3 linked regions of the Drosophila melanogaster genome follow. The protein of the gene in region 1 interacts with the protein of each later gene in a pairwise test. Each region holds a gene or a part of one and is shown on either strand. Other genes may lie near its edges. The genes, in order: RpL15, CG4213 and CG13405.

Region 1 (3,619 bases):
CAAACGGATTAGAGAAATTAAAAGGAAAATTAAAAAAGTTTTCTTCCCACCATCAAATTGGAATATAAGAAAATAATTCTACTGAATCTAATTTAAATTTAAAATTTAAAATTTAAGTCAAAAGACTTAATAAATATTTTACATAATTAAAGCATAGACAAAGGGAATTATTATAACTGCTGTAATTTGAATAAATAAATAAACCATAAATTTAAAAAAAAAGTCAGTACATTGAGAAAAAAAATATTTCATAAAAATAAAACATAGTAGAAAATAAATAAAAATATGAAATCTGTTTAGTGCAAAAGTTATATCTGGAGGCACTGAGTGCGGACACAAGCTATCATCAATCATTGTTGTCATAATTTCTCACACCTCGCAAACGTAATACTCTAATTTGTGACATTTAAATAGATTCGGTTAATACTACAATATTTCTATGCTATATTTAAATAATAATAGCACTAAGGCAATGCAGAGAAAACATATTTCACATGATGCCAATTGACCGAAATTATTATAGTTATTATTATAAATTAGTTATTATATAAATTATTATAGTTATTCTAGTGCCAGCAACCGGCTGCAGAGCTCTCCGGTCTCTGGCTCTGACTGTTGTTATTCTAGTGCCTATGCAAATAACATTTGTCGCTTATGAAATTGGTTACTTTCAAAACATTTTTAAATCTGAACCTGTATATCGGTATCAAAAATATAATCGTGCATGATCCGGTAATCGAATTCGTATGAATTTTATGATTCCGCTTTTGGTCGTAAACCAATTTTGACTTTTGTCTGGCCGAAATGTAAAAATGCCTTTTAATACCCGTTATTTGTAGAGTAAAAGACTTACTGGATTCGTTGAAAATTATGTAACAAGCAGAAAGAGCGTTTACGACTATACAAAACATATTATTGAACAGGATCAATAGCCGAGTCGATCTAGCCATGTACGTCTGTCTATATGAACATCGAGATCTCAGCATACAGGTTCTAGAGGCAAAGACGCAGCGCAAGTTTGGTGACCCGCCCACTCTAACGCACGCAAACCTCCAAAAACTGGCACGCCTACACTTTTGAAGAACGTGTTGTTTATTTTTAACATTTTAATTATTTTTATAATTTTTTTTATTTGCAACAAAATTTTTTCGCACTAGCTGAGGAACGGGTATCTGATAGGCGAGGAACTCGCCTCCGATGTGACAAGCACACATTTGCTGTCGACAACAACAAATTTCGATTTGCTAAGGTGTCGCTAAGTACGTCGTCAAAAGTTATTGCGGGAAAACGAAACAGGCAGGTAAAAATATTTATACCATATATTAAAATGCTTTCATTAAAAAATAAATAAAAACTGTGAAAAATGGGGTAGCTATTTTGTATGAAAAACAATTGCAAACAGCAATTTCTGCGTCCGTCTGGCTTCAAAACAAACGATTTCAAATATATAAAGGATATCTTCACGTTGTTTGATTTTGACAAAGAAAAAAGTCAGTTGTTTGAGCAGCAAGAAACGAAATAAAGCGAAATAGCATAGAAATAACGCATAGCACTATAGCAAAAATTATTTGAAAACCAGAGCACCTAATAACGAAATTAAAAGACTTTTCCCAAATCGAATGCGATAAGATAAATTAACATGGAACGGAACATGCTGGGATGTTTTAAAAATAATACAATTCTGTGAGAAAGGGGTATAATTCCGTTTTACAATGTTTCATGCATTAGGGTAAGTATATCCCAAAGCAACTCTGAGCTTGTTTGTCGTGTGATCCAACTCATTGCTTCCTTCTTTTGGAATATTTCCGTGCTGTAAGTTGGTTGTGCATTCGGGTCAATAATTTTTCTTTAGTACGAGATCATTTCGGAAATAAGTTTATATATTATTTTCGGTCCTTTTAAAATGTTTTTAAGTTTGTATGATGATTTTTTCCATGCACCACTCTGAGCTCAGTGTAGATTATGGATATCTGACGGATGTTATGTTCGTTTTTGTACTCACATTGCTATGTAACATTGATACGAATTATTATCTGTTCTAGATTGTAATATGTACAGTTTAAGAAGTTGATGGACCGATGATGTGACAGTTATAAAATAAATAATGAATTTGTTACTAGGTCTATCAAATTGCAGAGATGGGGGCTTATCGGTACATGCAGGAACTTTATAGGAAGAAGCAGAGCGATGTGATGCGCTACTTGCTACGTATTCGCGTTTGGCAATACCGCCAACTAACGAAATTGCATCGTTCGCCAAGACCTACTCGCCCGGATAAAGCAAGACGTTTAGGATACAGAGCCAAACAGGGGTTCGTGATTTATAGAATCCGTGTTCGCCGCGGAGGTCGCAAGCGTCCAGTTCCCAAAGGATGCACTTATGGCAAGCCGAAGAGTCATGGTGTAAACCAGTTAAAACCATATCGTGGTTTGCAATCCATTGCTGAGGTAAGAAAAAACGAAATTTGCTAACCACACGTTCGAACAAGTTGATGACAACCCCTTTTGACATACAATATATGTTGACATTAACTTCCTTAGATGTCTGAAATATTCTTGTCCAATTAAGAGGTCCTCACCAAAAAACACTGAAATATATCATGAATTTTATTTTCTTGTAGGAACGTGTTGGTCGTAGACTTGGCGGCTTGCGAGTTTTGAACTCGTATTGGATTGCGCAAGATGCTTCTTATAAATATTTTGAAGTAATCTTAATTGATACTCATCACAGTGCTATTCGTCGTGATCCAAAAATTAACTGGATCTGCAAGCATGTCCACAAGCATCGTGAATTGCGTGGCCTTACATCAGCTGGAAAAAGTTCGCGTGGCATTGGCAAGGGATATAGATACTCCCAGACAATTGGTGGATCTAGGCGTGCTGCTTGGAAGCGCAAGAACCGTGAGCACATGCACAGAAAACGATAAATTGTGAAGCATTTATTTTATCGGTTAAATAAAGCACTTCGTGCACGCAAAGAACATATCTAAAAAATATATTTTTTGAAAAGAGCTTTTAAACGCAAAAATAGATATAGTAACAGGTTTTCGCATTTTTGGTTTGGCATATTGGTTTATTAGGAATTTTGGTTTAAAATATAAAATTTCTTTCATCTACATTAACTTCCAGTTTTTATTTTCAAAAATGTACTAAGACCATTTTTCGGCAAGACTCCAATTCTTTTACAAAAAATTTTAAAATATATGCAAATAATCCCTTTTTCGTTTAGCGGATCTAACAAAAAAGTACCTCAAGGTTGAGCAAAAAATCTCATTTGAACGACGATGGGCACGCAAACGTATTTTTGCTTGTTATAGCTCTTCTGCTTCATATCTAAAAAATGCCATATCGAAAGATATTGGAAAATGAAACAATATTAAATTTAAAAAAATGTTCAAAAGCGAGGGCGTGGTTGTTTTGGGACTTATGTAGGTGTAAGAACGGGCGTGGCGGCTTGTATTTAAATAATATTAAAACGTTTTTTGAAAAGCTTAAGCGTGACAACATTCGGAAACACAATTGCGCTGCGCTTATTGTGTTTCTGAAAGCTGCAGGCTTAATCTCAAGATTTTACCCTTTATAGTTCCTAAAATCGATACGTTCATACGTTCAAACGAGCA
Region 2 (3,757 bases), on another chromosome or scaffold:
GGCATCCACACCCGAGCCCGAGCGCGAGCTCCCCTTCCGGCATTTTTCGACTTCTCCACCCGGTTGACAACCGTCCGTTGTGTCCTCCTTTGTGGGAGTGGCTTTGGGTGTGGGTGTGGCGCTGCGACTTTTATCTGATTCCTCGGCGGAATCTCCATGACCAGTAGCTTGCTCCACAAGGTCGAAGAGCAACTTGGGCAGAGTGGCACCGTCGCTGCAGTTTCCCTCCGCTTGGGTCATTTGATTGAGGAGGTGGCGGTTCTCCTCCAGCATTCGATTGACGCGATCGATGTTCATGCTGCTCTTGCCATTGAACCCCATGATTAGCTGGCTGAAGAGCTGGGAAAGGATATGAAAGGATGTTACACGAAAATGGCTATATAAGTCTATATAAGTTGCACTCACCATGTTAACTGCACCCACTTGCTCACTAAGCAGACGCTTCTCAAACTTGTGCTCGCCGCACTCCTCCCGGAGCTTCGCCAGCTCCTCATTGGCCATCTCCACCTCTTTGAGAAGGCTGTGATTGCGGTCCTCCAAGCTTTTATTTCTAGTACAGGAAGAAAGATCAGTAAAGTTTGGTTCAATGGATAGAAAATTCGCTTACTTATCCTGCTCGGCCGTAAGTTCGTCTCTCTTGATCGAGATTAGGCGCTGGAGATTCTCGTACTCCGCAGCAGCCACTCTCTGTCGCTCTTCATAAAGTTGCCTTAACTGGCGGATATTCACCAGTTGGCGCTCGTATTCCTGGCGAAGATTGTTCGACATAATCTTCATTTCGCGCTCACTAAAAGAGTTTTCGATTTCCGTCAGCTTCATCTTGAGCTAGTAGTAAACCATTTATTTAATATGGATCTTGATTTCTATACGACCTGCATTACTAGCTCACCTGAGCACACTGTTCCTCCTTCACGCTCAGCATCTGCTTGCAGCAGGAGATGACCTCCTTCAGGGTTCCTACCTGGCGTTGAACCACTTCCACTTCTCCACGCAATGACAAATTCTCGGCCTGTGCCTGCTGCAAAGCCAACTGAGCATTGGCCAGTTCGATATTGGCATGGCGGCTCCTGGAACTGGGATTCTCATCATCTGGATCTGCATCAGGCTTACTGGGACTATTCGAATGGTCGTGCTGATTATCGGCTTGACCGTCTGTAGCCGTAACTTTTCTAAGACGTTGATTCTCAGATTTTTCTATGGCCAATTGTTCTTTAAGACTAGCAATTTCATCCCTCAGGCCCTGCACAGCATTTTGGCGAACCTCTTTTTTCTGACGAAGCTCTTCTCTGAACTCTTCGAGGGTCTGTTCTCGTTGATGGGTCTCATTTCCTTTGTCCTCCATTTCAATTGCAACTTTATTCTCACGATATTTCACTCTATTTTCGGGAAGTACCTCCTCAGCTTCTTTTTGGGTTGTGGCTCGGGGGGCCTGTTCCAGAATGAGATCCTCGTGCTCGATGTTGTTCCACCAGGGCTCGTCATCAGTGGACTGCTGCATCTGCATTTGCGTATCATCCGCAGACTGTGTGGACTCGGCATTTCCCATCTTTACCAACAGAACAAAGACGAACGAGCTGTGGTATGCGGTTGTGATGATCTGTTTACCAATGCAGATTCGCCTGGCGAGCGTTAAATTTACGATTCGCTTTAATGCGACTTTTCTTCTAGAGAAGAACTCTTTGTCGGCACAAAGAAAGCCCAAGATCCACCGATCTACAGATCGCCACCAATTGATATGGCACCAATACCAGCAGGGGAAAATACCAACAAAAATCGGTGTCTATATTTGTGTGCGACGATCACACACGAGTTTGCAGATTTCGCAATTATCTATTGACTTTCACTTTTCAACCAAGGATGTTCGAGAAAAAATAATGTCCCGATTTCCATTAAATATTCTTCACTTGCACATTGAACTTCGAAAGATACGGAAAAGGAGAAACGTAACTAAACTAAATATCTAGTATACATATGATAAACTTCTATATGTATACGTGACGTTGGAAAATTTTCGGGTTCTAATTTCTATCCGTTCGACGGTCGAACGCAACTTTTCGGTTAGCCAGCTCGGGAAAAACTGAGAAAACATTGAATAGATTCTGCTATTTTTAACCCACTACGATCTCTCCTGCTTTCAAACGAATTTGGCTTCTCTCGGCGGCACTCCCAACATAAAATGCTTTGTTTTCGAGCATTAGAGATTCTTGTTATGTTGAGGGTTTGGCAAGATGTCTGAGAGTCTTCTTAGGACTCTTCCCTTCACATTCTTAATTGTTCTTTTTAGTTTTATGCACATTTTAATTAGAAGAACGTGTCAGATGAATCCGTCTAAAATTATACACAAGCGTCATTTTAATTATGAGTAAGGGGTAAAACAAAACAAAACTCTTGCCACATCGCCTGTCAAGAAATGAAGATCAAGACCAGTTGTCAAGAGCTGAAAGAGAAAGATCCGCAACACTTACTAGGTGAATGATCTGCACTGTTTTGAAGACGATGTTTCCTAACATCAGGAACTTTAATTACATATAAAAAGCATACAAAAGAATTAGCATTACTCTCAGTTTTGGTATTAGGTAAAAACTCTGGGTGAGTATGAACACATGTTCAAGGTTAAATACAGCACAATCCTATTCATTTTTCAATTCATACACGATCACAAACTTTTCTTAGCGCACCCCTGTCTGACCCACATTCGTTGACCATTATCACTTCGTTAAAGAGAATAAATCTCTGGACCTTTATTAACCAATTTGTGATAGTGGCATAGGGTATCCCGCGCACCCCCGAACTCAATGAAAATCTTTCGCGCGAAAGTTTCAAATGAAAATCCATTTGCTAGCTGATTTTTGCACTGGCCACGCCAACTTCCTGTTTTTTTCCCCCAGTGCGCGCATTTGAAAAGTGGGAAACACGCAGCAACGATTCCAAACCAAGGACGGTGAAGGGTTTTCCGGGGTAGGAAGGAAGGATGGCGCACACATTTGGCAAAGTGTCGCCAGGCTTGAAAATGAAAATCAACAATGCAATTTGCCATGGCGCCTCGCTCTGCCCCTTAGTTCTAGGTTTCTCTGTTGTTTGTAGCGACTCAAAAGGGAAAAAATTCTGCTAAAAACTTGAAGCGCCAGGCAAAAGTTGGGCCCCAGGAACGCCCTCAGCTTTTGCAGAGATTGCACACAGGCAAATGTGCAGCGAAAGTTGAAAGTAGCAAGGATACAAGAACCAGGCATCAAGGACGCTCTGCCCAAAATAAGTTGCAAGAAATCCATTGTGTTCATTATAATGGAATAATAAACCGGAGTGACTGCGTTCAGATTGGGGTTCTTTCCTTTTCCATTAGCCCCTGAACCATCTCAAATTGATGATATTTTCTTGATGTTCCCACAACCACTTCATGTTTTCACGTTAAAACCCAACAAAGTAATTTGGCAATTCCAATACAAGAAAAATTAAGAAATCTGGCATCAGCCTTGATTAACACCTATCTTAAGACGAAATATAATGTTAGTAAAATTTTCATATTCTCGCAGTCATTAGACATTAATGTGCCAGTCAGTGGGGTTTAAGCCCAAGTATTCGACAAAACTGCTTCTTAGAAGCTTTAGATGGCGTATTTTGGGGAGGGTGCTTCAGATTAATATGCACATACATACATATGTGCATACATACGCCACCTATGTGGCTCACAACAATGCAACAACTTCATTGCCAGAGCAACACGTTGGCACATCCTGTTGCAAAGTCTCATTTCCGCAGG
Region 3 (3,757 bases), about 27 Mb from region 1:
GTGCAATAACAACAAGCGGGAGAACGCAGTAGGGTTGGAGAATTGGGTGGGGGGGGGGGGGGGGGGCGAAGAGACATGAACAGAAGACCCAAGGCAGAGGTCCAAAAAACAGAAACAGAACCAGATGGAAAATGGAATGGAATCGAAGCACAGTTAAAGGAATTTTGCTGTATACGTTAATGTGTGCTTGTTTTTGTGTCTGGGCACACACTCATAAACAATGATGAACGGGGTGAATGGACGCAAGGTGACGTCGCAACGCGGTCGAAGCCGCTGCTTCTGCACATTGGGTTGGCGAATTTGGCGCCGACAACATTCCCCTTCTAAAATCGCGCTTTTGAATTTTCCACCTTAGGGTTAAACCATAAATTTCTAAGTTGCAAGTCCACATAAATTATCTTTTAATCGAAATAATTTACATTTCACTTTTCTCCAAATCTTTCTAAATGTAAATAAAATTTAAACAGTGACCAGTTGTGTAGAAAACGTCAAACTATCTCGTTTTTGCGAAGTGTTCCCCATCAAGCGCCACAATGGGCGTGGCACTTGGCGGAGAGTGAGAATTGAGGCATAATAAAAGAAGGAGGAGGGAACGAAGAAATCATCGAGAGAAGTTTTGGTTCAATTCAGTTCGTTTCGATTCATTCTCGTCTACTGGCGTCTTTCTGTGCCTCTTCGGTTATTTGTTTATGGCTGTTTTGCTTTGATCCCCTTATTCTGTCTGGGGGCACAATCGTCTTGTTTTTGCGCTTATTGCTATTGCTCTACACTTTCCCGCTATTTGGCTACTCCACGTCTGGACTCTTGACTATTAAACCCAGCTAAAAGAAGTGCTAGGCAGATATTTTAGAAATCGAGGGATTAAATTAAATTTTGCATTTACTTGCATTTTATTGAAATTTTCTTGCATTTTTTATTCACATTCCCTCCATCCTTTCCCATTTTATTGAGTGCAGTGTCGTTGATATGTGTAGATATGTATATATGTAAAATATGAAGATATTCCACAATTATTCAAGTATTTTCATAACTTTTCCCCGTCAATTTTCGGAAACTCCGCTAGGAAACTAGGTACAACATAGTCCATTATCCGATTCAGAATCCGACTCATATTCGTCAGCCGAATCCGTGGGACAAAAGCCTGATAAGGTCGATTGTAGTTCAGTATAAAAGTAGCTCTTCTCGTCCTCTGTGACTTCCATTTCTATATCTCTGTAGCGCCTAGGTGAACCGAAGTTTTGGAGGTGCATGGCTCTATTCACGAGAACCTTTAAATGGATCTCCTCATGCTCCTGACAGACCCTAAGTTGTTTGTATTCCTGCTTGTCTCTATAAGTCTTGCACTTCTTGAACATCAGTCGATTGGACTTTGCCTTGAGCTCTTTTATAATCCTGTTCTGCGCATCAATAGCGTTGACCACCTCCTGATACTCCTTGTACATTGCCTGTTGCTCTTCATCGTCTTCATCGCTCTCATTGAGGAGCTCAAAGGGATCCTTCTCCTCCACCTCGAACTTATCTTCCTCTTCAACGTCCTGTTCGTCTCCTTCGCCCTCTCCCTCAAAATCTTCAGCAGCTTCTTGTCCTTCATTTTGCTCATTATCAACGTCTCCAGAGGCTTCTTGCTCCACATCAGACATTGCTTCGGATGTTAGGGATAAATTGTATTAAGCGATGCAGGGGTATTAGTTTACATAATTATGAAATACTTTAATAAACCAAATTTTGATATATAAATCAAATACAAATTGTTGTAGTAGATTTATCATGTGATCGACAAACGTAAACATAAAACTCCACACCTTAGAGCCAGTAAAATCTCAGTTTACTGCACACAACAACTACTTTTATTATTTCAGTTCGCCATTTTTTTTAGCACTTCAATAACTTCCGTTTCCGTTTCCCTCGTTATTAGATCTTTTCATATACGATTTATTGTTCTTCTGCCATCATGATAGCTGTTGCGCCGTTAACTTCATTCCTTCTACAATCTCATCTCTCTTATTTCACGCTTTTATTGACTCAGTGATTTCTTGTGGCTGGATCCGGTGGATTACGTTTCAAAGCGCACCACTCGACGGCATGCGTTCGCATTAATTATAGAAACTACAGAATGCATTTTAATTTGGCATAATGTTTATCTCGCAGCAGGGTCGTTTCATCGTACTACCGGTAGTTAAGACGTGAATTCTAACAGATTACAACCTGTAAGCCAGGAAAGAAAGGGTATGTATTTGATAACTGGCCCAGCGACACAAGTTGCTGTTTTAATATCAAACTGGTGCATTGAATGGCATAATAGGAATGCACAATATGTACGCAAAATGTACCTGCAAAGTTGTGTGCAATGAAAGACAAAAATGTAGAGAACAATGTTTAGCAAAGAAATTGAATATGTCGATATAGGGATATACAAATTTAAATTTATTTATTTATTTAATTTAATTTATTTGAATTTACTTAATTAAATAATAAGCACCTTGTTTGGTCCAAGCTTAAGCTTTTATCCTTGATGTTTTCTTGATTACGTCCCTGTTTAATTTTTGGCGTAATTACCAATTGCTTGCGAGTCCCTGAAAGCGACAGTTGCATTAGAAGCGAACACCCATAGCCAGAGCCTATGGGTTTTATCGTCCGTATCAAGGTGGCTTTTCGATTAGCTCCCCATTCAGATTACGCATACGTCACTTAAGCTCAAAAAGACTGCGCCGCCCATTTTAAATCAAATAACGGGCAATTTAATTTACAAAGTTGAAAGCAAGCATAGGCCACCCCCTTTAAGTCTCATACATATTTTGATTTTTATTGGGACATTTTATTCTTTTTTTTTTTTTTTTTTTTTTGATTCCTTTCAGACCATGCAAGTTGCATCAAGTTTTTCTTCCGCTCAGACTTTTGTTTTCCTTTGTCTTGCATCTTTTTTGTGCTATTGTTACAACGGAATGGGGACTGTTTTTTTGTTTATGCCTCTACTGAATAAAATGGTTTCATTAAAAAAGTTTTAAACTTTTTCATTTAATTTAACTGCAGCAAACAACAAGCATCCTTCATCATGAAGCCTTTCTCCTTCTGCGCTTTTCTTTGCCCACTCTCTTGCCATTTTTCACTGCAACTATTTTGTAGAGAGCATCTGTTTCAGATATAGAGATCCTTAGCATGCTTTGATTGTTTTTTTTTTTTTTTTGAATGAGTTTCAATTAAACTTTTCTATTTCCATTTATTGTGCATTTTCCTTCCGCAGCGTATGCTGTCGCAGTTTGTTTCAGTGAGTTGCCACCCCGATTATCACCTGAGTGAGAGGTATCTTGTAGTCGAGGCACTCTACTCTCTCTGTCCTGGTAAACTTTTATTTTAAAATGGCCTCTTAAACGTATTGTCAACTCAGTATATTATTTCGTCGCTTGATTTCCTTTTTTGTTATTATTTTAATCATTCCCATTCACAGAGCATAATTTAAAAGGGGACGTAATAAAAAAGTCGTGTGATGGTGTGAGAATAGGGTTTGTTGAGACCGCCCTTTCTAGTAAGCCGGTCTTCATGTGGCATGACAACATGTCGTATTTGTAATATTTAAACACAACCGCTCAGCGAAGGTTGACAATCTTTGACATTAGACGGGCGTAATGATGAACTCTGACACGCTCAAGGGATGGCAGCGAAGGGAGGAGGTGGAAATGTGAGCGGGGCAGACCCAGAAGAAAAATCAATTTTTGCACAAAAAAAGGGCAAACAAAAAAACAAACACATTGCAATACCA

What was found.
Region 2: the proteins of RpL15 (region 1) and CG4213 interact in a two-hybrid assay, tested with the Drosophila melanogaster proteins (one large-scale study listed by BioGRID).
Region 3: the proteins of RpL15 (region 1) and CG13405 interact in a two-hybrid assay, tested with the Drosophila melanogaster proteins (one large-scale study listed by BioGRID).

Annotation. Positions count from the first base shown.
Region 1 is NT_037436.4:27,265,472-27,269,090, forward strand, and holds RpL15 (ribosomal protein L15), read left to right. Parts: upstream 1-1,783; 5' UTR 1,784-2,052; exon of another isoform or gene 2,053-2,120; 5' UTR 2,121-2,138; coding exon 2,139-2,447; intron 2,448-2,482; exon of another isoform or gene 2,483-2,552; intron 2,553-2,620; coding exon 2,621-2,926; 3' UTR 2,927-2,974; downstream 2,975-3,619.
Region 2 is NT_033779.5:400,118-403,874, forward strand, and holds the start of CG4213 (uncharacterized protein), read right to left. Parts: upstream 2,082-3,757; 5' UTR 1,547-2,081; coding exon 890-1,546; intron 826-889; coding exon 608-825; intron 551-607; coding exon 406-550; intron 340-405; coding exon 1-339.
Region 3 is NT_037436.4:73,571-77,327, forward strand, and holds CG13405 (uncharacterized protein), read right to left. Parts: upstream 1,763-3,757; 5' UTR 1,641-1,762; coding exon 1,068-1,640; 3' UTR 884-1,067; intron 822-883; 3' UTR 375-821; downstream 1-374.